Linked DNA regions of Oreochromis niloticus. The protein of the gene in region 3 interacts with the protein of the main gene of each other region in a biochemical or structural test. Links are inferred from orthologs where the notes say so. Each region holds a gene or a part of one and is shown on either strand. Other genes may lie near its edges.

What was found.
Region 1: of the proteins of ikbkb (region 3) and cops5, one has a biochemical effect on the other in vitro, tested with the Homo sapiens proteins (2 studies listed by BioGRID). The link is inferred for Oreochromis niloticus from reciprocal best matches to the Homo sapiens genes IKBKB and COPS5.
Region 2: of the proteins of ikbkb (region 3) and map3k14a, one has a biochemical effect on the other in vitro, tested with the Homo sapiens proteins (3 studies listed by BioGRID and IntAct, with this or other methods). The link is inferred for Oreochromis niloticus from reciprocal best matches to the Homo sapiens genes IKBKB and MAP3K14.
Region 4: of the proteins of ikbkb (region 3) and tnfaip3, one has a biochemical effect on the other in vitro, tested with the Homo sapiens proteins (2 studies listed by BioGRID and IntAct). The link is inferred for Oreochromis niloticus from reciprocal best matches to the Homo sapiens genes IKBKB and TNFAIP3.

What each region holds. Positions count from the first base shown.
Region 1 is NC_031974.2:19,440,067-19,448,012, reverse strand, and holds the start of cops5 (COP9 signalosome complex subunit 5), read left to right. Parts: upstream 1-4,931; 5' UTR 4,932-5,107; coding exon 5,108-5,244; intron 5,245-5,499; coding exon 5,500-5,734; intron 5,735-6,469; coding exon 6,470-6,598; intron 6,599-7,000; coding exon 7,001-7,066; intron 7,067-7,312; coding exon 7,313-7,398; intron 7,399-7,538; coding exon 7,539-7,650; intron 7,651-7,946. Other genes in the region: cspp1a (centrosome and spindle pole-associated protein 1), read right to left, coding at 455-532, 650-993, 1,230-1,331, 1,872-1,952, 3,549-3,646, 3,761-3,806. UniProt on the Homo sapiens protein: Probable protease subunit of the COP9 signalosome complex (CSN), a complex involved in various cellular and developmental processes.
Region 2 is NC_031969.2:25,786,133-25,793,109, forward strand, and holds the start of map3k14a (mitogen-activated protein kinase kinase kinase 14), read right to left. Parts: upstream 3,009-6,977; 5' UTR 2,867-3,008; coding exon 2,842-2,866; intron 2,779-2,841; exon of another isoform or gene 2,651-2,778; intron 1,377-2,650; coding exon 1,104-1,376; intron 1,021-1,103; coding exon 939-1,020; intron 824-938; coding exon 604-823; intron 343-603; coding exon 1-342.
Region 3 is NC_031977.2:25,966,299-25,973,697, forward strand, and holds the start of ikbkb (inhibitor of nuclear factor kappa-B kinase subunit beta), read right to left. Parts: upstream 3,012-7,399; 5' UTR 2,831-3,011; intron 848-2,830; 5' UTR 831-847; coding exon 726-830; intron 1-725.
Region 4 is NC_031978.2:11,429,198-11,436,610, forward strand, and holds the start of tnfaip3 (tumor necrosis factor alpha-induced protein 3), read left to right. Parts: upstream 1-4,402; 5' UTR 4,403-4,662; intron 4,663-4,755; exon of another isoform or gene 4,756-4,962; intron 4,963-6,225; 5' UTR 6,226-6,324; coding exon 6,325-6,631; intron 6,632-7,413. UniProt on the Homo sapiens protein: Ubiquitin-editing enzyme that contains both ubiquitin ligase and deubiquitinase activities.

The DNA.
Region 1 (7,946 bases), on a different chromosome or scaffold from region 3:
GAGACAGAGAGCAAATTCTTGTGCTTCATCAATCCAGCTCTTCTAATAAACTCTAGGGTGAGCAATTGTTTGCCTGGAGAAGGGTCAAGGCTCACTCTCTATCACAGCACCACATGTTACCAGGTTACTGAGTGTAGTTCAGGAACAATGAAATGCAACAGCAGGCAAAAGAAGTGCTGAAGAGCAATAGCTGAATATGGCAGCAGATACCAGTATAATTAATTATGGTACTGATGGTATTGATTCTGAAAATTTATGAGACTTTCCAGGGGGATGTTATTGGCTGCCCACGTCTGCACGTGAACACTGTTTCATCATTATAAATCACACTGCTGCAAAACCAGTCGCCCAGGGCAAAGCATCTGTAAGCTAACATTATTCCTAGTGTACAGTTAGGAGCTGAGATCATTAACAACTTTCTAGAAGCAGGGCTCAAAAAAATAAACTTGCTTACTCTGACTTCAAAATTGTATCATTGGTCTTCTGATCAGAAACTGTAGAAGCCGCTGTCTCCTTTATGTCCTGAGAAGCCCTGCCATAGAAACAGACAGGACAGTGAAATTTGGCAGAGGAGCAATCTGATCTCATTTATATGGTAATGGATGAAACTACCAGTAATTCAAATCATTTTCCAGAAAAAAATGGATACTTCTTCACTCTGCACTCTTGCGCTGTCATCTCCTCTTTGTACTCAGGCTCTTGAGTGTGCCTGTCCTTCCTCCTCCTGTATCTCAAATCAAACTCATCCCCTCTGTCAGTGTTTAGCTCGTCTTCAGAGCTGTAGGGCTCGGCTCTGTGGATTTGCCAGCGTCTTCGCCGCCTCTGAACTTGATTCCCGATTTCTCCATCGTTGAACACCTCGGTCAGAGTGGAAGCATCTTTCCTCTCGTTGTGAATGGGGACTATGTTTGTGTGGGTATGCTTGTGATGGGATGACAGGGGGGAGGCAGGGGGAGAAATTTTCAAGCCATCTGAAGCCTGAATCTGTCCACGCTGAGAATGAAAATGTGAGGAAGAAATTCAATGTGAAAAAAGATTTACTTTGTAACAGAGTGCTTTTCATTATTTATCTTTCAAGTACTCAGTGAGCTGTAGCTACCTGATAAATGGAGGCATTTCTAGTGATAGAGAATCCTTTAAAGTGTGGTATAAAAATTGCATGGATTATTGCACCAAACACACTAGTGTTATTGTGCACGATCTGCCTATTGAGTCATCAATCTTCTTACCTTGGGACTGACAGAAGATGTTCTCCTCTTTAGCGTTCTGATTTGAGCTTGTTCTTGGAGGAAGAGGTTGTATTCTTTATTTCTCTCCTCTCTCAGTTTTTCCTGCAAGAGAAAACAAAAAGTCAGAGACAAGCAGCCACACCGCTCAGTTAAGCTCATATGACACTTATAATTTAAGAAAATACAAAACTCAAACAATACCATCTTCTATCCAAAGAAGATACATATTCTGCATGCACACATTCAAGATGAAGATGAGGTTAAGGTTATATTATTTCTGAAGGAGCTGGGAATCAAAACAATAAACCTATAAATAATTTCCAATAGGCATTATCACTCAGACTAAGCACTCTCATGATAGCTTAGATGGATGCTTCAAAATCCTACAATAATGGAGTTTTGGGGATTTTTTATTTTGCCTCAATATTTCAAAAATGCTTGCATCAATACTGATTAACATTCAGCTTGTCGTGCACATATAGACACCTGAAATTGCTCTTAACTTTTGTTTGTAAGTTCACGGTTTTATACAAAGAAAATCAGCTGCCATGAAGCGCGCAGCACTGTGCAGTCAGCAGTTTATATCAGTTCTAGCTGAAGAGCTAAAGCTCTACTTTGATGACCGAACGAATGCAGGCACACCTTTACAGATATCCTCTCATCAATCGGTAGTGACACTCCATGAAGTTGTTGTTGAGGCTGTCTACTTTTCAGATCCGTTTTCTGCAGGAAGAATAAGAGATTTGCTGTGTGTCGGCAAATGCAACACAGAGACAACTTAGTTAAACACAGACATAAACTCACCAGCCACTTTGTTAGGTACACCTGTTCAGCTGCTCATTAATACAAATACCAAATCAGCCAATCACATGGCGGCAGCTCATTGCATTTGGGCATGTAGACACGGTGAAGACGATCACCTGAAGCTCAAATCAAGCATCAGAATGGGGAAGGAAGGTAATCTAAGCAACTTGGCATGGTTGCCGGTGCCAGATGGACTGGTCTGAGTATTTCAGAAACTGCTGATCTACTGGGATTTTCCCACACAACCATCTCTGGAATTACAGAGAACAGTCTGAATCCAGGGAACAGTAGTTCTCTGGGTGAAAATGTCTTGTTGATGCCAAAGGTGAGATAAGGGAAGAATAGCAATGATTGCTTCAAACTCATAGGAAACAAACAGTAACTCAAATAACCCTTTGTTATAACCAAGGTATGCAGGAGAGCATCTGTGAACCTTGAAGTGGATAAGCTAAAGCAGATAGTGGTGGTGTAATGGTGTATGAGATGTTTTCTTGGCAAACTTTGGGCCCTTTAGTACCAACTGATGATACTACATATATACAGCCTACATGATTATTGTTGCTGACCATGGCAATCGTTGTGTGACCACAGTATATCCATCTTCCGATCGCTGATTTCAGCAGGAAAATACTCCACCATGTCATAAGCCAAAATCTTGTTCAATCTATGCCACTTAGATTGGCAAAATGGGTCTAATGTGGCGTTAGGAAGGTATACCTAATAAAGTGGCTGGTGAATGTATTTTCGTAACCATTTCTGATATGTCATTCCAGATAAAAACTTCTCGTGTTCCAGTCAATTTTAAGATTAACATTTAAGATTTATTAAGTCTTAAATGTAACACTAATGAAAAAGAAATGTCTAAAATGCACATTTAGGTGTTTTATTCCATTCTGTCAATTGGATATGTATGCAAATTAGCACGTGTTTAATCAGACACCAAATCTTTTAAATAATTCAGCACAGGCTTCAAAAAAATTGCAGTACATAAAATAATTATCTTTCTCATAATTTTCACTTCGGTGGCACTTACATTAAGCAAAGATTTCCAGTTTTATTTAACTTGATATTCTGACTTTAGATTAATTATTTTTCATATACTGTTTAGTCTACTATTTAACAATCTATTACAACAGTGAATGAAAATAACTCAGTAAAAGGTTTTTATTCTAATGCCTTTGTGTGGTGCTCTGTTGTTTATTTCTGTTTTTTTATATTGAGATCGCTTGTTTTGTTTTGGGTTTTTTTTGTTTTTTTTAAACATTTTTTTTAACTGTACAACTTTTACCTCACTAAGCCAGTTTGTCTTGGCATGTTTTTTTTTTTTTTTTTTTTAAATTTTATTTTTAATAAGCTATTCTGATTTATTTAAGACCTTTTCTTATAGGTTATATATAATATTATGCCTGATGTAACAGTAAATTCCTATTGTTTGGGCTAAATTAACTATATATTATATATTATTTTATGTTCAGATTTTAATTTTATTTATTTATTTATTTTGCGTCATCACACCCTGGATATATAGTTTCTGTAGTCCAGCTGGAGCTCCTGCTGAAGTTTCTGCTTCTTCCTTTCATACTCGGTACCCAGCAGATGACTTAAGCCAATACCTGGGAAATACGGCATATATAGAGTAGACTGTGCAATAAAAACAGGAAACTATTCACTAAACACTACAGGCTTAAATAATGCAGCCAATTCACTACTACAGCCTTGTACAGTACCTCTGTCGGGATTGGGGTTTACTCCTAGAGCTGCTGCTGAAGTCATATTTACAGCATTGTGTAATTTGCACCATCTGACCCTGACTGTGGAGAAAAACTCGCTGAAACACCGATTTGTTTATTAACAAGCAACATGTGATTAAAAGAATTGCTTTTTTTTTTTTTTTTTTACTCACCGGTTGATTAGTTTACGCCTATAAACGTTGCTTCGCAAGTCCTTGATCACATATGGCGGGGAGTTTTCTCTTCATGCTTCTCAAAAAAACGTCCCATCGTGATACACAATACACCCAATAAGGCAAACATTGGACTTACAATGGGGTATATAAACATGCGTGTCTATTTTAAGGCTCGGCTGTAACTCTGGCTAGACAAATAAGAAGCCCAAATAAGATGATATATATCAATAATTCTTAAATTTCCACACACAGCTCAAATCTATCCGACCGATCTTTGACAGCGAGCTAAGCCCAAAGCGTCATTCCGTTGCCATGGGCAACCATGACACAAACCTTCTCCTGGGAGAGGCTAGCAAACACATCTAACACAAACATTCAAGAAAATATATCTAATATAGTCCAAATATTAAGTCTTTAATAACTGCAATATTTAACACTAGGATCTGATTTGCTGTTTCTTTTTAATCGTCTTTAAACAACATAAAACCAGGCAAAGTTTATCAACAACATGTTAATAAACTTAACATACTGCTGTTGTCTAAAAATGATACCATCTAGCCTTAACCAGCAGCCCTTTCGGCTATTTAGTAGCTCTTTAACTTACTAGCTGCTGCCTTTTTCCAGAATAGTATTGCCTAATTAATGAATACTAGCTTTAGTTTTATTGACTCATTAAAAACCTCAGCTCCCAGTATAAGTACAATGCCGAGGCTCTAAGAAAAAAGCCCTCACAGATAGATGTAGGTACCTTTCTAAAAAGCGCCGCTAGATGTCAGTGCGTCCCCAGCGGTTAGTTTGACGTCGTCGCAGGACTAAACCATGGCTTCCGTCACAGGGGTAAATATATTTTAATAAGAGTAATAAATACGATAAAAATATGATCAGTGAATGTAATATCATCATATATCATTGTGTTGTAGTGTTAAGAGATGGCTTATAACAAATAAACGCATCAGTGGTAAATATGTGTAATATGAAGACGAACGTCCCCGTCGATTTCACTTTGTTGCGTTGGTATCGCTCACTGTCATGGCTCCTTGAGCGAGTGGCTATCTGCTCCTAAAACGATATCAAAATCTTTCGGGGAGAAATACAGCACTTCTTCCCTTATTTAAAGAAAAAATCGGGGTTTTTGACGGCTCGGGTTTTGCTTGGATACATTATTAACATGGCGGGGAGCAATACGGCTCAGAAAACATGGGAGCTGTCTAACAGCATGCAGGAAGTTCAGAGCATTGATGAAATTTACAAATATGACAAAAAGCAACAACAAGAAATCCTCGCTGCGAAGCCATGGACGAAAGAGTGGGTGCAAAACGACATTGTGGTATTTAGGTTTCTGTCTAAGTATTTAGGTGATTGCTGAGCTGGCGTATTCGTATTACATGTTGTTCGTTGATAGTTTATTGTTAGAACATTAGTGATAGCTTAGCTACAAACTAGCAAACCGGTCTTTATGTCAGTAGCAGTACAGCAAACTGGATGTGTATCTACAATATACGCATTGCTTAATATTATCTAACATCAATGCAAATACATTTGTCATTGTTCACCCTTTAGTCACCACTACTTCAAGTACTGCAAAATCTCAGCTTTGGCCCTGTTGAAGATGGTAATGCATGCCAGGTCTGGAGGAAACCTGGAGGTGATGGGCCTCATGCTGGGAAAGGTGGACGGTGAAACCATGATCATCATGGACAGCTTTGCTTTGCCCGTGGAGGGCACAGAGACCAGAGTCAACGCCCAGGCGGCAGCCTATGAATACATGGCTGCCTATATTGAAAATGCCAAACAGGTGGGACATTGACTTCCACACACATGAAGAGCATCGTGTTTGAGTTATGACTTAGAAAGAAGGAACCGAACTATAGCCTAGATAAAATCAGACTTGATTTCGCTTGAGACATTAACTTAATACTTTCTGTGAATGTCACTGGTTTACAACCATTACTTTTTCTTTTTTTTTTACTTAAAGAAGAGTGTTTCAGCTGATTTAGAACTGTTTTTTTTTTTTTTACTTAATATCAATATGATATTTACAAACTATAAAGGGATTATTTGAAGCCATTACTGTCTTTTTATAGTATTAATATTTTGACAGCCGTATATAACCACATTTGTCTGCCTTTTCCCATGCTGGGTATACGATCACTTACCTCTAACTCATTTTCAAGCACGTTATTGTAGTTAATGTTGCAACCCAAGAAGCAGGAATACAGTATGAATATATTATAAGGCTAATAGGATTTGCACTCTTTTATATTATCTAGAAATCATTGTAAATTTTTGTGTAAATTGTACTATGTAATGAGGTTTCTCCAGTCCCTGTTTAACATACTCTATCCAATACTCTAATGAATTCAAGTGACTACACAAATGTGGAGATTTTTCTTAAAAGAAAAAAGAAAGATAGGAAAATGCTACTTTAGATAAGGATAAAAACTGTAAACTGTGTCAAATACATTAATGTTATTGACATCTTACACTGTCATAAAGAAAATATGATTTTATATTATCTATAATTCCTCAGGTTGGCCGGCTGGAGAATGCGATAGGCTGGTACCACAGTCACCCGGGCTATGGATGCTGGCTGTCAGGCATAGATGTCAGCACCCAGATGCTCAACCAACAGTTTCAGGAGCCTTTTGTGGCTGTTGTGGTAAGATGGGAAATAGTAACCATTTTTATTTTGAAACTAATGGTTTTTGTATTTTTTTAACTGTGACTTCTATTTTCCCACTTTTCAAATGGAGCTTATCCCATATCCCACGTCCCATTAATGTGGGTGTAACTGAGAAGGGGGGAAGATTACTGATGGATGAGTTGTAGATTTGCACGTAGTACTGATGAATATTTTGCTATTACAACCACATATGCTATTTACACTTCATTTGGTTTAGCGGCGCTTAAATGCCAGAGGCATCATGTAATTAAGTGTGTATTTTCAGCACACTGACAGCCCCAGTAAAAAGGCTCCTGGTGGCCACATTTGAGTCGTCCCCAGAGGTTTGTGTGACCCCTGACTCTGTTTTCCTGTTCTACTGTATCTTGCTTCCTATAGATTGATCCCACTCGGACTATTTCTGCAGGGAAAGTCAACCTCGGTGCCTTCAGAACCTACCCGAAGGTAAAGCAAAGACTTTATATAGCAGCAGTCCTCTTTGGTCTTTACTAAAATCACAAAATATCTGCTTTTTTATTCTTCTTGTGCATAGCTATATTTGATCATTTTAGTAGTTTTTATATACTGATGTTATTGTTGTGTATTTATTAAGAATATATTTATAAATTTATTTTCAGTCACTCTGTATTCTTAATTCCTTATTACTGTAGTAATTGCTAGGTTCTTAGTATTTCCTTTTTGGATTTTTAGGGTTACAAACCCCCTGATGAGGGACCCTCAGAATATCAGACTATCCCCCTGAACAAGATTGAAGACTTTGGTGTACACTGTAAACAGTGAGTATTTATATTTGCTACAGTATTGTACCGGATCAAATACTTGTGTAGCATGTACTGTATCACACATTTTTCACTGTTTACTTTATTTTCAGTACTTGCATATGCGCTTCTTTTTTCTCTGTCTCTCTCCTTTTTAGGTATTACGCTTTGGAGGTTACTTACTTTAAGTCCTCCCTTGATAGAAAGCTCCTGGAACTCCTTTGGAATAAATATTGGGTTAATACCTTAAGTTCTTCAAGTCTCCTCACGGTATGTAGGGCATTTCAAAAATCAAAATGTTTGCTATTTGTTTGACATTTTGATTTATGGTTAATTATTACTCTATAACTCATTTAGACATGTGGTCACCAGCTTGTGATGTCATGATTTATTGCTGCTTATTAGCTAAGCGTCCGTGTTTGTTGATTTTAGTAATAAGCTGTACGTGAACTTTTTTCACAATGGAGATAAGTATTAAAGCTGGAGCCGACTCCATGATGCTCCTTTTCCCCCTTGCTGTTCGTTCGAAAGCCTGAAAGCCCCTCATGTAAATTTGCATTGAGGCT
Region 2 (6,977 bases), on a different chromosome or scaffold from region 3:
TTCCGAGAACTCATCTTCGTCTTCCCTAGTCTCCCTCTCCACTTCTTTGAAAAATGGCCCTGCATAGCATGGATCCCCCTGACTGACACAGCCCCTGAGCCCAGCAAGGGCCAGTGAGCAGTCTCCCACACTGCTAAGAGAGTCCGAGCTGCTGTTGTGCTCATATGACCGAACACTGGAGAGGTTACCCAAAACTGGCCAGTTCAAAGGGGAACAGCTTGAGCCTTTGTTGTAAACTTGTTGGCTGTAAAAAGAAGCCCTTCGGTCGTCTTCCTCTGAGCTTTCAAAGCTGCTACAGCAAGAGGTACTGAGATCGCTTCTCTCTTCAACAGAAGAGTCCTCCTACAAGAAGAAGAAGAAGAAAAAAAGTTTTTAGACAAGATGGTGTTTACATCCTCCAAATTTGCTCTAGGCTTAAAAATTCAAGGCCAAAAGAGGCGGGGCTGTTGGAATTCAATGTTTCACTTCCACAATTTAGGAAGGGTAATGTTTACATGGGGACTTCTAGAGATTAGGACCCTATTGTTGAAGATGATTTAAATTCTTTTAACAGCACAGTATACTAAATATTCAGACTCAGAGAGATGTGAAGAGTAACCTCACCAGGATCGGGATCAAAGAACTTCCACTTTCTTGTTCAGGCACTCCAGAAGGCATTCGACGTCTCTGTCGCTGCTTGTCCTTCTTCTTCTGCTGCTTCTTCCTCTTCCCCTTACGTTTCTGTCTCCTATGGGTACTCTTTCTTGGGGAGAGTATTGATGTGCTTGCTTCCTGGATGGTGGCCATTGTTTGGCACGCCACATTGTTTTGGTCAGATGAAAGACTTCAAAAGAAATTCGAAGAAAGCAAAAGGAATTTAAGGCATGTTTACACAATTCAGCACAGACCCTTGAACAGAAATTTAATTTATAATGCGGAGAATGTCCCCAAGATCTTACCTGGTGGTCAAGCATTTAGGGAAGGCACGGAAGGATCGTTCATAACAGGAAGGGCTAAACTCCTGGGAGTCCTGGGTTTCACCTAAAAGAGCACAGTGTTAATGTAAAATTGGCTCACAGGAAAGTTCATTGATGTGATACACTATAAAAATAAGATATATTTACATTCTGCCTGAGCAACAATGGTTGAGGTCTTGAACTGCATTTCTTCCACTTGTTCTGCAGTTCCATGTGTCAGGAGTTTAGTGAGTTTATCAGCAGACCACTTTTGCGTAAATCCCATTTTGCCATCCTTCCCCTCCTCTTGTGCCTCCTCAGTCTCCTGCTCTGCATTGGAGCATGATGGATATGTCCCCTTCAGGTCAGCTTTTGGTGGTCCAGTGAAAGGCGCTGTTGAGTTGAAGAGCCTCTGTCTCACCGCCATGTTATCTTCTAAATCTGCAAGAGACACAAGCAGCTGATAAATAACGATTTTCCTTATCAACTGTATCCTGCCTTTATGTTTTGTCTTTAATCTTAAATAAGAGTTAATCAATTTGGTTTTAGTTATAGACGCCTGGGTTGTTTGTGTGGCTATAACCAGAGAGTTAAAAGTAACTTTTTAGTATTATTATTTAAATATTAATTAGTGAATTTGTCTTTGGTCGAGGGCAACATATTTGGCTCCTTTATAAACTGAGCTTTCGATTTTGATGAACATGTTACTTCAGAGCTCACAGTGCGTCATATTTATTCAGTTAGTCAGATGCTTGCTGCGACTCATCAAGAGTGACCTTTAGAAATGTTGTGAAGTTTGTATAAGCATAAACCATTTCTCCAAAATGTAACAAAGGACTTTTATCTGCTAATGTGAGCGTGGGAGTGAGGATACCTAAAAAGGGGAACAAATGGATACTGAAAACTAAACACATCTCAGGTTAAAGGTTGCATTGCATTTTGCTGTTTGTTTTTGTTCATTTTTTCTTAATTTTTCGTTCTTAGTTTGCATCTATGGCGCACTTTGCAAATACTTTCCACAGTGCCATTTGCCTGCTGTAATCGAGCACAACAGAAAAGCTCATAAATCTGACTGAAGATGAAAGGTTTATGACAGAAATATACACCCATGCATAAACGCAAAAATAATTTGATCTGCTTCATTATGGCTCGTTTGAAGTTTAACATATTTTACTGCGCCACACATGTTTAGGAGCGCAGATGAACTGAAACTGTGAAATTTGAGGTGGGCAGATGAGACAGGAAATTAAACCCCGGCCTTGTTTTCACAGTTGCAAACTCTGTCGCTCAGTGCATGCACTCTGTTTCAGTCAGAGGAAGTAACCTAGGCAATGCCTGGGCTGCACAGCCTGGACTAATTTGAAATAAAGATTTGCATGGCTGCCTGTTCACACCTTAAAAGTTATTACCAGCACAACAGGTAAGACTGTAAAACCAACACAGGAAAACTACATGCAGTTTAAAAGGCACAAACTGAGAACTACATTTAGAGCACTACAGTTGCAATTAGTTGCGTCAGTTTGTCCATTACACTAGTAGCTTCTCACATAAAGATTAAGCCTAAATTCTTGACTAAAACAATCACATGCACGCTGCATGTTTTTGCTGCTGACAACACCAATAAAGTACAGATACAAGTAAGAATACAGCAAAAAATAAGATCAAAACATAATCAAAATTACGTTAAAGCTGTTTGAGTTTATTAATGATACTACCTTGTACGCAGACTTCATGCACCGCAAGATTATCTAGAGCGAAGCAACTCAACTGTCACTTCCGTCTTAAGACGCTGCACCACCACACCCCAATGAATTTACGTGGAAAGGAAATAGAGAAAACCCCACTGCAACAAACAGGCACAAAAACAGACTCTGTATGTGTGAGCCGACGTAGCGGGCAGACATACCAATAGATGCCAGTCTGAACTGCATTCTCAAGTATTTGTTCTGAATAACCTGTCATCGACACGAACTAGGTGCTCCGTTTGCGTGCCTTCATGTTCGACTTTTCAGTAACGACTCGGCTCAGTTGCTGCTGCTCTGCTTTCTGCTCTCCTGATGCTGGCTTTCAGCCAACTGGGGGGAGGAGCTGGCTGACTATGACTTATGGGAAATGCATCTACACTTCCCCATATTCCCCCCTCCTTCTGCTCCCTCTAACAGGGCTGGTTTACTTACTCTGCCCTCTTGAGTACTACCAATTAAAGGATAACAGGTTTGCTTATGGGTATGATGACAAAAAAAAAGTGAACTATGAACTGTGATGAGAGTAGTGGTAATATCTAAACCCTTTCAATCTTTGCAGACTATCAAGATACAAGGTTTTAGTGAGGAAGAAGCAAAGGATATGATTAGTACAGCCGAGCACTGAATTCAAATTTGTTTAAAAGCGAAAAATCAGTTAAAAAAAGTTTCTTTACTGGGTGAAAAACAATTTCAATTCTGTGTGCACATTAAACCAGGTAGTCTGATAATCACCCGGAATGGATAGTCAACTTTCTGTACACATTCACACCACTAAATGTGAAGGGATTTGTGGCCTTTCATTTGCTCTGATATTCTAATAAGTGCGTGCCCTGTAGCAAGCCAACATTCAAGAGCACGTCACATGTCATGTCACACGCCCACATTCTCCACTATATGTCCTGTTGTTAAAACAACAAAGAGTTTCTTTCTTTATGAAAATGTGGCAGTGTGAAAACTCACATTATGAGCATCTTCTTGCGAAAAATTATTTCCGAAAACAGTGTTTAGACTGAGGCAAGCGTATGAGCTGTCAATAATCTGATGGCTCTATCTGAAATAATCTCACTTGCTTTTCTCTTGAGCAGAAAAACAACTTAGTCATACAAAAACCACTACAGGAAACTCGGAACACCACTTGACAGGTTCTGGTACATGCCATAATCGAAAAGCTCAATGTAAGTTGCTCACTCCACCCCTACTGATAAGGAAACTGTTTGTCATGACAACAATATCTCTGCTAAACCGACATAAGCTTGAGGACACAGGTACAGACATTGTAGACAGTCAAAGCATTTTGAATTTTGTTTTTGGTACTCTATTAGTCACCAACTTCACATATTATGACTCATAAAAATGGCAACAATTAGTACCAATTATCAGTTCATCTGCCAATCATTTTCTCATTTACTCATTCTGTCTAGAGCTGAAATATTTAGTCAGTTTAGCCACAACATTATGTGCAACAGATTAACTGTGTGACAAAAAAACAGTCAAAAGTTACTAGTTCAAGGTTCAAGATTTTAAGGTTTCTTTTAATATACCACAGTGACCAGTGTTTTTGTTTTGTTTTGTTTTTTTTGTTTTTTTTGGTGTTTTTTTTTGGGGGGGGGGTTTGCTTTGCAATTTGCTGGTTTTGATTTTTAAATTTCATGTTTTTAATTGCCTCTTCATATTATTAAAAGCTTGACATAAATTCTGCTTTGTTTTGGGTTTTTGTCCAAAAATTCATTTACATTCATTTGTGGTCAAATTGTTTTAAGCTGTGAATGAATCTGGAAACAGACAGACCAAAAGACAGCTCCCTGGTACTACTGTAAAACAGATAAGAATAGGGCTATACGTCTCAGCTTTGGGCACACCACCAATTCTGACCATATTCCAAACATCATTTCTAGAAACCCTATACCTGAAATGAATCTCCAATGATCTTCACTATTGCCATATATTGCTCATGCAGTCCTGAGAATATTTCACTTTTTGCAAAGGAAGTCTGTGCAACTCTAAGGTCATTTTTTAACTTCTATTCCAACTTTCTGCACTGACAAGCATGGCATTTTACTAACTGGAGAAATGGCAATGACTGATTATCAAATTCTGCAAATTAATTTTGCAGGTCAAGTAATCAAAACTAAAGTCTTTTGATTTACATGCAAACTGAACCTACACTTCCCTGTCAGTGTCATCAGAAACCTAAACAATTATGTTTTAGAGGAGTTTTGCACCCTAAATGTCTACACATATCTAATAAACATGTAACTAATAGTGCACACTATAAACTTTAATCCATAATGATCTTTGCTGTGGACATCTTTAACTAAACTGTAACAAAACATACAGTTGGTGACTGTACAGCTTCTGCTGCTCTGTTTCTCTCACAGAGATTAATGAAATTCCAAAGCCTTTAGTAACGACAGCTAAAAGGGACTCAGAATACACAGGCAAGAGTTCCTTAAGAGAACCGGTGGCTGCTTCTCAGGAAAGCATTCCAGTCCTCAACTACACATCCACAAGGTTGCAAAAAACATCTGCAGGCACACATTTAAATGCATCTCCAAGTACTCAGTCATACCCCTTGTCTAATGTCTAACAACTTCCCTTTTTCTAGTTACTTCCTCAATATTAACTTCAATGAAGAAACAGTCAGTTACAGTAAGAATGCATAGTCCTCTCTTTGCTGCACATTATTTCCATTAAACTGAGATGTTCTATAAACTCCTGGCATTTTAAAAGAATAATAACCCAGGAAAATTCTGAGCTAAGCCATTGTTATTAATGTTATCCTAGTTTTTCTGTAAACATTACTGGGTTCTTTGACAAATTAAAATTAATTCGGAAAACAGTTTTCTCATGAATCAATATTAGAAATGCGTATTTGACACCTCAAGAAAAACATTCCCCTCCATTTCCCAATGCTATTCAACATAAGTTTACTAAACATGGCCAAAGTCAACAACTCTAAAAGCATGTATATTATAATAATGTTCTACTAAGCTGCAATCTTTCTATACATTTTCTATATAGTGAGCTCATCTTAATACAGTCATATTTGCACTTTCCTGCTATCTTGCAAAGAAAATGAGAACAGGATATTTGCACAGGAGGAACAAAAGGTTTTTCGTTTAAGGGTGGACCTGGACTAGTGCTGATTCGCTTGTAAATGCAGGCCAGGAGTTTGACTCTGGGCCAAGAAAGATCTAGCAAGCATTGTTGCGGTATGGAGGCCCAGCATAACTTGGACCTGAAAAATAGGACCTGCCAAGAGTGACTAATGTAAACAATTACATCTGGTAGATGTAATTGTTTAGCTCTATCAAGATTACATGGGGGCTCTAATGTTTAAATGAAACAGATAAGAGCATAAAAAGATATATGACTGCATATATTGCGACAACATATAATAACATACATAACGGCTATTCTTATGAGGACTCCTATAACAAATATAGCAAGTTTTTTTTCTATCACTAATATGCTCTTAAAAAAATTTTTTTACCAGGTAAGAACATCAACCTATTCATGTTTAGAGTTAGTACAGCCTTTGTGACAAAAAATAAAAAATAAAATGAGGGTACCACTGAGAAGTATGAGCAGTACGACGGTAATTATATTCTGTACAGTAAAATCTACAGTAAGCCTCTATAACAATTTACCTTTGATAACACCTTTGATGTTTAACTATTTAGCGATTCATTTAAAAATGAACATAATTTGACTAAACAGTAATTTCATGTGTATACACGCGCTGTTATTGTGTGCACGCGCACCAACTTCCTTCTAGCCACATTCACCGCCATTTCACATAAAACTTGGGCCCAAAATGTTTGAACTATTCGTTAAACAGTCAAACATGTAAATCAAGAAATCGAGTTCTCGACAAACAGCGGGAAACACTGAAGTCAGAAAGCTCTTAACTTCGTTAAACCGTTTATGATAAATACTATATATTCTTCACTTACCGTATTTCCCGTAACTAGGCGTCGGCCGATGGCGATCTTGACATCATGTAGCTTCTTTCCTGTTTCCGCTTGAATTTCGAAGTAGTGTTTGGGTTCCCTTAATTTTTACAATAACAACATTTAGCGCCAGAATGCAAAGACATATTGCGCTATTATTAATCACTGACTGTAACAGTATGTTTAAATGTTGCTCGGACTGAGCACAATGTTTGCGTGTGGCTGTAAGTTATAGTTGTGCTTTTAATTTGAAGACAAAATGCTCTCTCTTCATGTATGCGTCTGTTTTTAATTTAAAGACAAGAGGATAAGCGGTCATGCAGCGTGAAAGGGGAGCTGTTTAA
Region 3 (7,399 bases):
AATGCTGGTTTGTGCTATGGCTTGCTAAAACGTTTTTCAGGGTGGTAACAATATGGACCATGATAAATTGTTTTTTTTAATGAAATAATAGTTGTTTTGTTCAAATAGAAATAAATTATGCTTTCTGAAGAAAACTAGCAAGTTTAAAAATTACTTACTCTTTTAAAAACTAAAATACTTAGAATTTCATAGGGGACCTAATATTTTTATCCTCAAGAGTTCTGTAGTATCAAAATAATCCAGTGAGAGCTGTTTATACATTCTTTCACACAATTCCACGAGTGTCATCTTAGTGAAATACAAACAAACATTAGCTAAAAGATGAGTTTAATTTGTACCCTACAGCTAATCCACCTCCACGGTCATTATACTGTTTACATGAGCTTTCGCTGTAGGAGGAACAAGGAAGATTTGCCTCAGCAGGTTGAGGAAGTTTTCCTCATTTTAAAGTTTTACTAAACACAAAGAGGGAAACACACAAGTGAAGTTTCATTTTTGATTCCATTTTAAAATGACTATTTGCATCTAAACAAAACCTTAACTTTAAAATTTGATCAGCAGTGGTAAGAGCCGATGGCTTCCCGGAAACTCCAGCAGGACATGTTGAATTATCTTGTCAGTGTAATAGTTTGTTATTCAAACATCCTCTTTCCTGTCTATTATGTCCTAAAGATATAAGATTCTCAAAGATGTAACAATATGCTAGAAGTATGTGGAGTGAATACCTTGTTTTGCCATCTTGTGACATTCCCAAAGCCCCCGGTGCCGAGCCGCTCCTTCAGCTCCCAGGGCCCGCAGCTCTGCGGCTGCTGCAGGGGTACTCGATTCATGACCTCCTCACCTACACCTAAAACAACAAAAATAGTGGATCCGTCATGACCCATTACTAAGGCTAAAATGTTGCGTTTGTCCTGAAAAATGTCATGGGAGTATGCATTTGTCTGAGCATGCAACCAGTACTCAAGCAAATAACTAACTGCTTCGTCTTGAACGAATGCCTAAAAAAAGCCTTGTTTCAAGCTTCTCAGCTCTGAGACCTACAGTGTTTTCTGGTTTGTACAGGAACATGCAAAGGTCTTGAGTCAACCTTTTATATTTTGCTAGCAAAACTGATAATAGGTGCATTGATTGATTGAAACATGCAAACACACATAGAGATACAAAATAACATAACAGTTTCTACGATTCTAACAATCTTGAAAGCTTCCTATCTTGTGTTTTTCTACCCAGGTCTGTCTTTCCTGCATTAGCACTGTTTGGGATTACTGAAAGAAACGAAGCCATAGACAATTAGATTCTTTCCAGATGGTACAGTGTGATGGCTCAAAGTCTGACAGTACTTGTCTGTGTTCATAATTCCATTAAATGCAGCCCAGAACCATGACTGACTCTCCACCGTGTTTTATAGATGGCTGTAGACACTCAATACGACGACTGGAACTAGAATTTTCAGGTCTGGTTCATCACTCCGTCAGAGCTGTTGCCACTAACTTTTCAGTTCAGTTCTCGTGTTGGCCTTTTCTCCCCATTTCCCTTCCTTAAGAATAGCCACGCTTCCACTGAGACCATTTCTGATGAGGCGTCAGTGAACATTAGGTGGATCGACTGAAGGTCAGGATGCATCTCGCAGCTTCTGTGTCAGGTCTTTGCTGGACTATTTCCCATTTCTAAGAACATGAGTTTTAGTCTTGCAACTTCATCTTTTGCCTTCCACTTGTCCAGTTTCCTCAAACACACTGCACACTATGCCAGAATATGCCAACCGTTTGACTGATCGGTGTTTGGGAATCACTTGGTTGATGCAAAAACATTATATAAACATTTTATCCCCAACATTTATGCCCTTGTTTTTGTTTTGTTTGTAAATTCATCTAAAGGAATGGGAACAAATGTGTTTTTGCAAAAGACCTTTAGCGTCTGAATATACAATTTTAAGTTAGTTCTTTGCTATGTTATATGTAAACAAAACACTGGCTCATTTCTGGGTTAGGTGCCTTTTTGAATGATTCATAGGCCACTGTTAAGTGGCTTAACAAACCAAACATTCCCCTGAAAATGATCAGGTACAAGGACTAGACTAAAAATGAGAGAAAAAGCAGCGAATGTCCAAAGAGTAAGAGTAAAATGTCCAAGAGTAAAACATTAATTTGGTAAAAATGAGTAACTTGCCTATTGGTCAGGGAAAGTAAGAAAAGAAATGCTGTGTTTGTCCTGTAGGTGATAACACGTGTATACAGAAACAGAAACAACAGTGTTGGTGGCTTCTAGAAAGCAAAAAAAAGTAACAAAAAGCTGTATGAATTCCCATAAGCTAATTAACCTATTATAAAAAATGAAAAAAAAAAATCTAATTGGGAATTTATTGTATTATCAGTATTGTTATAAATGTGACTGTAGGGGTCTGATGGATGAGATAAAAGCTCTCCAAACTGTGAAACTACATAAACACTGAGTTTATGTTTTACAGCAGCTGCAATAAAAGAGACTAAACATACATATAAACATTCCTATAGGCGAGTCCAGCTTATTAAAAAAAAGCCCGCTACGTGTATATAAAGAAAACTAGCTGTCATATAGTCGCAGACTATTAAGAGGCCCATTAAACACTACAGGGGCGCTACATGCTTGAGGGGTTTCGTTTTAAGCTTCATAGACTGACTTACAGTAAATATACCGCCAACCTTTTACTCATTATAAAAATATTATTCACCGACACACAAAAATGTACTTTTCTTTTGTACTTCTTTGTTCATATAAAATGAGCTGGAACTAGTCTTCGGGTTTTATTTTCAAGGAGAAAAGCGTCAACATTTCAACTCCTAAGTCCTACCTTAGACTCCACACGCAGCGTTCACGCGTTTTCACGCCTTTTTTGTGTTTAAACGGCAGGTTTACTGTGTGTATCCGAGCTTTCAATGAGTAAAACTTTAATAAAAACTACTGCAGCACATTTGGCGACACAACAAATCTCCAAACACTCAACTTCCTGATACTGATATTTCCTGTTAACCTGACGAAGAAACAGACCCGCCCACTTGTAGGGAAAGTCCTCGGATTATGTCCTGCTGGTAGGTTTATGCACTTTTAAACCATACATTATGAGTTTAATCACGACTAAACGGAAATTTTCTTTAATTCCCCCAAATTAAATTAAGAAACCCATATCATAATTGTAGAAAGTCACTCAATTTAGAAACAAATACTACATCAATAGAAAAAAAAACTTATTACATTTTTAAAAAATTGATTATTTTAGTTTAAAAGTTAGTTTAAATGTTTAAGTGACGAATTATCGTAACTCTTAAATCATATTCCGTCATGTACATTAATAATGTGGCATCATTTGTGTCTTTCTACAGTAGCAATGTGGCGTCCAAACAGTCATACCCACAAAGGTCACTTCAGTGTCTCTCTTTAACTAGAAAAATGAAATACGGGGTCATCGAGGAAGAATGTGACCTTGCTCATCTTTCTGGAAAATAATCTTGCTGATCAAATGCTTTCAAAAACAATGGCCATCTTTTCTTGTGGGCGAGGCCATCCCAGCTGTCATAATTCAAGAAATAAGTACACCTGGATCTGTCAGGGCTATTACATTCACATTCACACCTGCGCTCTATTTAGAATTGCTGATTAACTTAACTCTGTGCATGTCTTTGGAGTGTGGGAGAAACCCACGCTGACACAAGAAGAACGACCCGGTTTCAAATACAGGACATTCTTGTTGTGAGGCAGTAAACACTGAACCACTGCATGAATGTATATATGATATCACTGCTAAGGGTACAGCAGCATTATTGTAGAATCAAACTTCCCAAACTGCTTGACTCTCCCCTCTCATCTGCATCACGACCTGACAGCTCATATTAACCTACTGCATGTCTCCTTCTTGGCTGCCCCTCTTTAGTTTCATTGGTTTCTTTTCTGTCTGGATCTTGCCCTTGTAGAGCTTTAATCAAATCCAGATGCTCAGATTCTGTGCAGTAAAAAAATTACAGAAAAAGTAATATTTATACATAAAGCGCCTTTTACAGACATAAAGCGACAAAACTAAACTAAGAATAATTACAACAAAATAATTAATAGCAATACAGGGCCCAGTTTAATCACAGAACAAAACAGAATATATAGATCATTTAAAAACAGTTAATATCAATAAGACTACAGGTTTTAGTATTTTTGGGTTGCTCCAGTCGGGGCAGGCCTACTATCGTAAAGTTGGATATTTTTAGATCAGTTAAAATCAGCTTGTTGACGTCTGTTAAAGTGTTCATCTCAGTGTTTCAGATGTTCTGACTTTGCAACATCATTGTTGATATAACGGGTGTTATATTTGGAGAAGATGCACTTCAGAGTTTCCAGAGTATACCAATGATGTTTTTTTTTCTGTTTAATCACCTGTTGTTTTTGCATGGAGTAATGTGAAAACCGACCCTTAATATAGAAACCAAACATCCCCTTGAGTTACTTGGTAAAATATATCTGTTTTTTTCTGACGTGAGCTTTAGGTGGGTATGGCTCACTTATCAGATTGGAAGTGTTTATAAAAATTGTTCCTGTTTAAACTAACATATTACGATGCTGCTACCTCTGCTGTAGTGAGGATAATACAAAAAGGCTTAATGAACCAATGGAACTTGTAATGAAAGAATTTTGTTGAGTTATTTAGCTACATTTAGTCATGTAAGCACAGCCTGTGATAGTGGCTTGAATGTAGATTTCAGTAATATATTATTACTGTTTCTTTCAGCAGTCGGTTTCAGCTGTACTCTGTGTTTTAAAGCCAACTGTCATACCAAATACACAAATATATGTTTAAAAATATAAATGGTTGAATTGATCTTTTATATATTTTATTGTCTAAATCCCATTCTTGAAACTTTTTCTTGAAACGTTTAACCAAGCTTGCCACTAGCTAGCTTAGCCTCAAGCTAAGCTAAATAACTTAAGCTACTTACTGGACAAATTTGTGGTCAGAACTCAACTGTCTCAATTGTTCATGGATTCAACAAGGTGCTGGAAATGTTCCTCGGAGATTTTGGTCCATACTGACATGATAGCACCACACAGTTGCTTCAGATTTGTTGGCTGCATATCAATGATGAGAATCTCGACCACATCCCAAAGGTGTTCTGTTGGACTGAGATCTGATGCCTGTGGAGGCCATTTGAGTACAGAGAGCTTGTTGTCATGTCACTTTTGAGATCATCTGACCTTTGTGACATAGTATATTATCATTGTGGACAGACCCAGCAGGAGCTGGGTACACACTTAAAGGACTGTGCATGGTCAGCAGCAAAACTCAGTAAGGTGTGGCATTTAAATGATGTTTGGGTGGTACTAATATCATCACACTATATATATAACCACTAGCCCTTGATACAACCTTTATATAAGGTGGTATGGATCCATGCTTTGTTGTTGTTGACAGAAAAGTCTGTAGCCCATCTGCTTCCAGAATGGACATGCTGTCTGTTCAGAGATGTTCTTCACCATACCTTGGCTATAACAAGTTGTTATATGAGTTACATTTACTAAGGCAAGTCTGTCTGGGCTTAGAAACAGCTGTATCCTCAGCTTGTTAAAATTACTTCTTGACTATTGAATTACTAACACTGGAAGTCAGAGAAAATTTAGGTACATGGTTAATATTTACAAAAAACATGGCAAGTGAAAAATGTAATATCTAGTTGATAGCAAGTAAGTTTTGATGTGTGCAAAGTCATATTTTGTATTCTTTAATATTTGCTAAAATGTAATAACATTTGTAACCATCAGTTAAAAGTAAAATTTTGTAACTGATGGTTGCTCTCAGCACAGAGTGCCCCAGATTATTTTAAAAAGCAAATAAAATTAAGTTTTGCACAGTCGTCTTTTTCACTCTATCTCAGGTTTGCTGCCAGGGAAAATCAGTAACTGTGAACTGTGTCCCATACACTTCACCGAGAAACCTTCTCGTATTCATTTTATGTGACACTCGATACCCTGATTGTGGATTTGGAGCATCCGAGCTCCAGGAATTATAAAAACATCTACCCACACATTAAGACAGCAAACTAAAATGTTTAAAACAGTGGTTTGTGCAGATGCTACAATTACTCTACATGGTTTACAAATACCTTACCATTTATGGCACAATGTAAATAAGGACAAACAAAATAAGAACATTTTTTTTTCATCACTTAACACGAAAGAGGAAGAATGCCTTAATCGGTCAGTTTCATAGTAATTTATAAGAATTTCAAGGAGATAAGAGTCTTGTGGTGTAACATGACCTGATGTAACTTCTGACCGATTCATCTGTAGTAGATTGTGTTCTCTATATGTAATGTGTGTCTTTGTTTGTGATTTTCCTTAACGAGACTTGAAAGCTAATTGTAATCCAACACAGATGGAGACAAAGTGGGACAGACGCCAAACTAACTTCCCCCCTAAGCCATTACACCCCAAATTGCTGTATTTTCAGCAATTTAATGTAGATTTAACAGCCAATAAAAACAATGAACATGAATTATTCCAAGAAAATAAAAACCTTAAGTGTTCTGAAAATGACATGGAACCACTTTTCAGGCTAAATGATTGATTTCCTGAGGAAGGGATGGGTTGAATAAAGGGGGCCTGTGGTTGTAACAAAGGGCTCCTGGTGCCAGGTGGTTAGCCACAGTGATATAGTACCACCCACAACCCATCACAGCCTCCCAGAGGTGACCTACTGTGTGAAGAACGAGCTGTTTACTAGTGGTTTTGTCACTTAACACGTCTGCTTAAAAGCTTCAGTAGTTTTTGTTCGGTTTGGTTGCACTCCAACAAATAGACTAAAAATGCGGTAGCAACACATTTGCATAGCATTCACTGTATGTAAACATACATCCTTTACATCCTTTAAATATGTCATCTATCTATTAAAAATGTTTAAAAACATTTATAACGTGCATATGTCTCTCTCTTTCTGTTACACACGCATTTTAGACTTAGACTTAGACTTAGAGACTTAGAGCTTTTTATTGTCATTGTGCAGTTTCTTGCACAGCGAAATTGGGTAGCTGGACCACAAAGGTGCTAAAATAAGAAGAAGAGAAACCAATATACAATAAGGCTGAAAAAATAAAAATAAATAAATAAATAGAATAGAATAGAATAACAAGCAGTGTATATGTATACATATGTGAGTGGAACTATATACATGGTGTATGTGTAGGAAACATTGAAACAGACTGGGACCAAAATAATTGCAATTGAGGAAGTTTTTGATCCATGCACATGTGGAGGGGGGGGAAGTCCAAGTTTACCAGCTTGTCTATAAGAATGTCTGGGATGATAGTATTGAAGGCCGAGCTGAAATCAACGAAGAGCATCCTTACTGATGTCCCAGGATTCTCCAGGTGACGCAGAGCGGAGT
Region 4 (7,413 bases), on a different chromosome or scaffold from region 3:
AGCATATGCAGTGCAAGTAAGTGCAGCAGCAGCACGGACTTGCTGCCAGCTAAGATCAAAAAGTGGATGCTACATTTTAAAGTAAAGGTTACTATCAAAGTCTCAGTGAGTCAGATTTCTACTTCATGTTAGCAACTGTTGCTTCCTTTAGAGCATCAACAAAATCCCCTAATATGCAAGGTTTCATTAGACTGCCAAGGAATATAATGCACACTAGCAATATTTATTTGAATTGGATCATTTTTATGTTTTTTTAATTTGAAGAAAGGATGAAATCTTTGCAGACCCCTCTGTCTGCATGTTCATGGGTTTCAAAAAGCTGTTCAACTTTTGTGTTTCAAGATGGCAACATTGTAGGATGTATTCAAGACCTTTACCTCTGCAAAAAAAACAAAAAAAGTCCTGCATTGAAGAAGTTGCTCAATTAAAAGTAAGTAACCATCATGTTTGTAGAGGCTAAAAGTGTCAATCTGACATCTACTTTTTTAGTAAGTTATTGTTGCAGATGCATTTATTTGTCAGCAATATTTTACTGCTGTAGCCAATCAGGTTAGAGCTTACTGCACTGCATACTGCAAGTACTTTCATATCATTTTATTTTATCAATGCAAAATATTTGTGTCCTTAGATTTTTTGAAAAGCATTGTACATATCTAAATTATTATTATATTTATTGCTTTAATTGTTTTTAAAAGACCCCTCGTATGTTAATTATTTAAAGAAAATATTAACAATAAATGTAGCGAAGAAAAGTGTCAAAATAAATGAAAATATGGTACTGTGCAATAATCTTGAGTCCCCCTGAATTTTTATATTTTGCTTCCAAGGAAAGGCTAAACTTGTGTGTAATATTTTAAAAGCAGTCTTAAGCAATAGCTCTCCAGACTTTCTGCAGATCTTTCAAAGGTTTTTTGATTTGTTGTTGTTTTGTTTTTTTACTTTTTTCACTCATTTTCAGTCCAGTCCTTGTACCTGTCTATTTTAAGAAAAGAATATTTGGGGGGGTTGTTGTTTTTTTAAGCACTGACCTATGAATTATTCAACTATAGAGGGATGAAGCAGTGTTCTGTCTACACATAACAGACAACTTAACAAAGACCCCATTATAAAATGCATCTCCTGGAACTTTGCTACTAGCAGCCTGTCACAAAAACACATTTGTTCCTATTCTATATATTTAAAAAAAATGCTAACAATAACAAAGCTTGACAGACATAAAATTGTATTTTTGCACCAACAATGGGATTCCCAAAGAACTATTAGCCAAAAACTTGCCCCATCTCTGCATGGTGTGCAGCATGTCCTCAAAAAATGTAACTAAACTGAAAAACTATTCAGTTTTGAGAAGAATGTTATAAAAGTATGCACTACTGTGGAATCCTTTGACCTTTTCTTGACAGACATAAATCCTTCCAGACGTTATGAGGAAATGCGGACTGCATAAATAGCAGTACAGCGGTCAGGTGGTTTTATTAAAGTATCATCTGCTGGTCTAATATAGGTCATTTAATGAGGGAAAAGTTCAGCATTGATATGAGACAATAGTGGTGGCGGTGGTGACTAAAAGAGGATTGCTCATACTGGTGATTTGAAACAGCGGAGTGGGCCAGTTGTCCCTTCTGGGGTTTTCCATGTGCTGATGACTATGCTGCTTAGCTTTCACCACTTCCACAGCCGGCTAGTATTGATTATTGACTTCCAGCCAATGACTCAGCCAGCATGTGACTCAGTAAGGAACTTTTAAAAAGTTTGGAAACTGAAATCTTTAGCTTTATCTACAATAGCCCCCTCAGCAGCATTCAGTCAAAACAGACCAGAGTTAGATGGGTTTTTCTTAAGTGCCCACTTACTCAATCAAAGGCATTTTTGAGGTCAGTCAAAGTGACTTTATAGATGTTCATTTTGACAGCCGGTGCGTGCAAAGCATTACCTCAGGGGCAACGGCTTGAAACTTCGAAAGGTAAGACTGATTCACAGAGCTCATTCCTCGTGAATGCTGTCAGGTGTTTGTTTTTTTTAACAGTTTCTTTCCCCGAGTAGGTAGAAAACTGAAATGTAGTTTCTACTGTTGGGGCAGCTCAACACAGCAGTAGGAGTCTTTCCACAGGTAGGAGAAAGGAAATAGAAAGTGAGGACCAGCACAGGATAACAACAGCAAGATTAAGACGAACTATCTTCTTTCACAGCGGTAAAGTGGATATTTGTCCACAGTGGAAAAATATAGAATAAAGTTTTACCTCAGCTTCAGGGCTACTCTACATTTACGGGAATCCTGCCCTTATACCCTTATATAATAAACAATAAACATGTTTGTCAGGATGTCAAATTCTTGTTAACGCTACTTTCACTTACTGTGACTCTGGCTGGATTAATCCTCTTTTGAAATCTTTCTGGTCTTTCTAATGGTTGATTCAGCACTGAAAAGATGAGATTATAAATTATCTATCACTTAACTGAGAACAAATTTACAGACTGACATTAATTTGCGACAGTTCTGTCGTAACTGTGCTCTGCTTCTCGGCCCGTGACAGCTGGGATTTGGACCGAATACTCGTATTTGCACGTCGTGCAAAAAATACTATTTGTACTTGGTTATTTTTTCTGATTTATCTATTTTATGACACTGAAAATTAGGGGTGGGAATCACAGATTGGGTCATGGCACATTACTCTAATCTTAAGTGGCCCAGGACAGCGCCATACGCGACACAGTTTAAATGTGCATGTGAAAAAAAGTATATTTTATATTTGTGTCTCTGTGTGTGTGATCCATATTTTTAAACACAACAAAACAAAATCCCAAATATATTAATTGAATATAAGCAATTCTGATTTTATGCTTCAAAAGGAGTAGAGAGAAGTATAAACGTATACAATCCTACCGCTCCTTCCTGTCTAATGACTTAGTCAACTTCAGTTTTCCTTTAATTTATAAATGCAAGAAGTCAAGAAGACTTTAACTTAAACTGACAAGTTAATCAAAAATGAAATCAGGGGGTGTATGCATGTTTTAATAAAAAAAAAAAAAAAAAAAATTGGCCCCGGTGTGTTTTATAGTAAGTCGATGCAAAGCAATATGTCGCTCTTTAACTATTTGGTCCCAGTAGTACTGCAACTTGAATTTATGTTTTGTTTTTGATTGACTTAAGGAAATCAAACTATCTAAAAACTTTGCTTTTGTAACCTGAAGCATGCGGGCTTTTCCAACCTTTGTATTTCACCTCCTCCTGCTAAATGCTAAACTGAAACTTTATTTGTGTTGGAACACACCCATCACACAAAGGCTAAAAATATTTGTCTCTTTATGTCATCTAAATGTGTCACACCTCTTTTTCGCGTGCATTATGCTATCACATGCAACTCCAGCAAGTTGCATGTGTTAGCATAATGCATAATTTAAGCAAACGCTACACTTGGAAATAAAACATAAAGCTCTGACTACTTTTCCGTTGCAGCTTCTGAATGGTAGACCGCAGTAAAACAGTTAAGCATGCTCTGCCACATACTAGAAGCTCAGACAAGATAATAAAACTTGTCAACCACAACAAACCACAGGTGCACAAAAGACTTGTGACTTGACTGTTGTAATGATTTAGCCGCCTTGACAGCCACAGTCAGGTGGGTTGCTGGATGATGGAAGATGCACACTTTTCTTGGTACACTCGAGCAAAGATCATCTGTTGATGTTTAGTATTGAACTCACATGAAAATGAGAGGCACAATTTCACCAAGTGTCAGTTTACGTTTCCATTAGGTGGAGACATATGGAGGGAGGTTAAGAGGCTTCCTTTAAAAGGAAACCTATTTTTGTTTTGTGATTTCGGTGGGAAGAGCTAGAAACTTTTGCCAAAATAAAAGAAAACTTCACTTTACATAAACATTGAGCCAACTTACTAATGTAGTGAATGAACCAGCGGGTTAGCAAAGAGCTCACATCTGCTTCTTAAATATCTTTGAGCAAGACAGGAATCCGAAGGAACCTGAAAGTCTTTAATTATATTTAGATGATTTGCTAACAATTAAAGCACCATCGCATCATTGCTGCAATAGCTAGTCATCAGACCATGAATACACATACGTATCAGTGCATGCAGTCAGCAACTCAAATCCATTTTACAACCAGGTAATGAGATTCGTTTTCCTTACTCATTTGCTGATACTGAAGGTTAATGATTTATTTTTTTAAGGCTGTCTCATGAAATAGAGTATGACGCGAACTGCCTCCCTCCCTCAGTGACGCTCCTTTGTGCTCAGTAGGTGGGATATGCTTTTCAGTATCGAGTCAGACAGATAGTAAAGACTCCCCTGGTGGCAGTGAGCTGCAACTACAGCGGTTGTGTGTGTGAGTGTGTGTGTGAGTGAGTGAGTGAGTGAGTGAGAGAGAGAGAGAGAGAGAGGAAAATGGGTGGACGGAAAGTCCCCGTGTGGAAATCCCCTTTGACTTGGACTTTTTCCTTGTTTTAAAAAAACTATCATTATCGTACGTGTGTATTCTTTTGAAAGGCTTCGCAGGCTGCGAGGGCTCCAAAATAGATCTGATACTGAAAGAAAGAGAAGGTTGAATGGCGCCGAGGACCGCTGCGGTGAGGCTGAGTGAAGTGGCTGAGAGAGGACTAGCCTGAGCATCCGGGAGGCTTTGTTATTACCCCGACATATTACACAGGTAAGACGCCAGCCTTCCCTCCTTGTGCCTCCCCATGTGGACACACATTTCTTAGCAATTGGGTGAGACTTGGTGGGTAAGACCACGTTTGGGCCTTGAGTAATGTATGGTCGTGTTTCTGGGGACACGGAGGAAGCTTGAAGCCTGCTCACGACAGTGGCTTTGACAGCCATTGTTTACAAAGACGTCACCCTCGAGCGGATAGCAGGACATTTAAACAGCCAAATGTGGCATCGGCGAGGCTACACTGTATCGATACCCGCGCTGTTAGACGCGATTGAACGCTACATTGTTCCAAAGGTAGTTGTCATTGGAATTACGTAAGCCTTTAACGTCAGCAAAGTCTCCTGTTATTGTGTTTTTGTGTAGCCAGCCATCCTAAACCGCAGCGTCCACCCGGGTGCTGCTGTCTGTCTGCCTTAAAGTGTGCCCCGCTGTGACAGCACGCCACGCTAATGATTCGTGTCAACATGCTCCCTGACATCCAGGTGTCTGTTGTCTGGTCCCTCATGTGACTGACTAGCCCTTTAGCACGGCCTAGTCTGTTGTTGCACCTGCTGCTGTTTGGGTAGTAAAGGCACAGAGGCCACTAGAAGCTCGCTGTTCAGGTGTTTGTGGACTCGAACAGCATCTTCCGACCTGACTGGCAGCTTGCGAGAGGTTGATAGAAGGATGTTGTGGGAAGTTTAAAAGTCAGCAAAACTCCAGGCCCACTTGCTGACCATTACTTTCTACTTCCTCTAAACTGCTAATGCGTCTTCACTGTGTTGAAATGTGAGGGGAAGTAGTCCTTTAAAACCTTCCCTTTAGCAAACTTGACTCAAATAGAGTATTGGGTATAGAGGTTGTGCATTGAACCTCAGTACCTTTATACTTAAAGTATAAAAACTGCCAAAAGTTTCCCTAATTTTCCTAGCTTTCAAATTACTATAACAATTTGGGGAACGTAGCTGAATTAAAGTTGTATTTTATTTAGGGGAAATAATTCTGCAGCTGCTTTTGTTTTAAATGACTTCAGGGAGTGACGTAAACCCACGTTAGATTATCTTCCTCCTGTACTGAGAACAGTGTTTGTGTCTGTACTGAAAGCCTATAATTTTTCTAATGATTCCCAGCCTTTTAAACGGAGACTTTAAGCAGGCTGTTGAGGGAGGAGGCCTTGTGACCTTCCCATCAGCCTGGGAAGCCCTGGGTGGCCTTCAGTTAAGGTCTGGAAAGCACCCATTTATTGTTGGAAGTCTTTGAGCTCAGTGGGACACTAGGAAGCCCTGTTGAGGGAAACTCTCAAAAACCATCAAGACAAAAAGGAGAATTAAAAGAACAAACAAGAATACAAAGGGGTCTTTGTGTACTTTATTCAGTTGGGCCCAGCAGAATCTCCAGGAAAAAGCACCATACAGCCTCCACACTGGAATCATCCTTTGTGATGGGTAGTTTCCCAAACAAACTGTAAATTAAGTTGTGCCTTAAGTCTTAATTTGTAAGGAAGGGGACTCTCCACTGAAAATTTCCCACAAATCCCTGCTGTGAAATAACATGTCCTCTCCGCTTCTCTCCATCCAGTTTCCACGTTGATCCGGCATCGGTGGTTGGTGCCTCCTCCTCCTCTCCTCCTTGCTCCTCTTCCTCCCTTCCTTCCATTCACCTGGCCAGCCATCCGCCATGTCGCAGGGTCAGAACTTCCTCCCCAAATTCCTGTTTGTCTCCAACCTGCTCAAGGCAGTGAAGATCCGACAGCGAGTGCCTAACGATGTGGTGAAGCCTGCTGCCAGCGGTGGCCTCATGCACCACCTGCGGGGTATGCACCGGTACACGCTGGAGATGATCGCCATGAACCACTTCCCCCAGGCCTTCAGGGAGGTGGTTCAGGCCGCCATCCTGGACCGAGCCATGCAGGCCTCATTAGAGAAGGAGAAGAAGCTCAACTGGTGTGGGGAGCTGAAGAAGATGGTGCCCTTACGCACCAATGGTAAGAACGATTATGCTGATGTTGAGGAGCTGTACTGGAATATGGAGGCTACAGTAAACCAGATTTCTGTGGTGGTCTTATAAGTGGATGAAGCTCCACGAAGCTTTGTTGACGTTCAAGGATGTTTTATATTATTGGTTGTGTAGCAGAGGGCACCGTAAATAACTGCTGTTGGAGCAGTAGGTGACATTCAACACAAATAGAACAATTCAGCAGATTGGCCACAGAGCTAATGCTGAACCATTTCTCCTTGATTTTAGAAGCAAAACTTATTGCGCTCAACACAGGATGTGTTTTGCTTTTGTTTCATTTTCTATGAGAGAGATGGTGAGCTCTTATGAGTCAGGGCTATTTGATATGCAAATTCTGAGATGTCATTACTCACAGGCAGGGTTACTGTAAATGACAACAATCGAGGGACGCGAGTTCCGCTTTCACATAGACTCATTTAGCAGCCCCCTTGGTTTTACTGTGTCGACCTTAGTGTTTGACTTTAGGCACCCCAGTGCTAAGTCATGTTTTCTGTTACGTGAATGTTGTAAGACGGGAACATCCCAGGGCAGGCAAACATGTAAACTCGGGCCTGATTACTTCTGATCATAGTTGTGTACTGGGAAATTCTCTGGCGTCACATGCAGGACTGTTATTTACTGTCTGTGATGTTTCAGACCCAACTATTTCCACAGTTTTTCATTTACTGCATTTGGGGTATGCCCCCTCTTTTTCTGTGTAGGTGTGTGTTAGTGAATGTCAGTGGATGTTAAAAAAAACACACCGTTTTA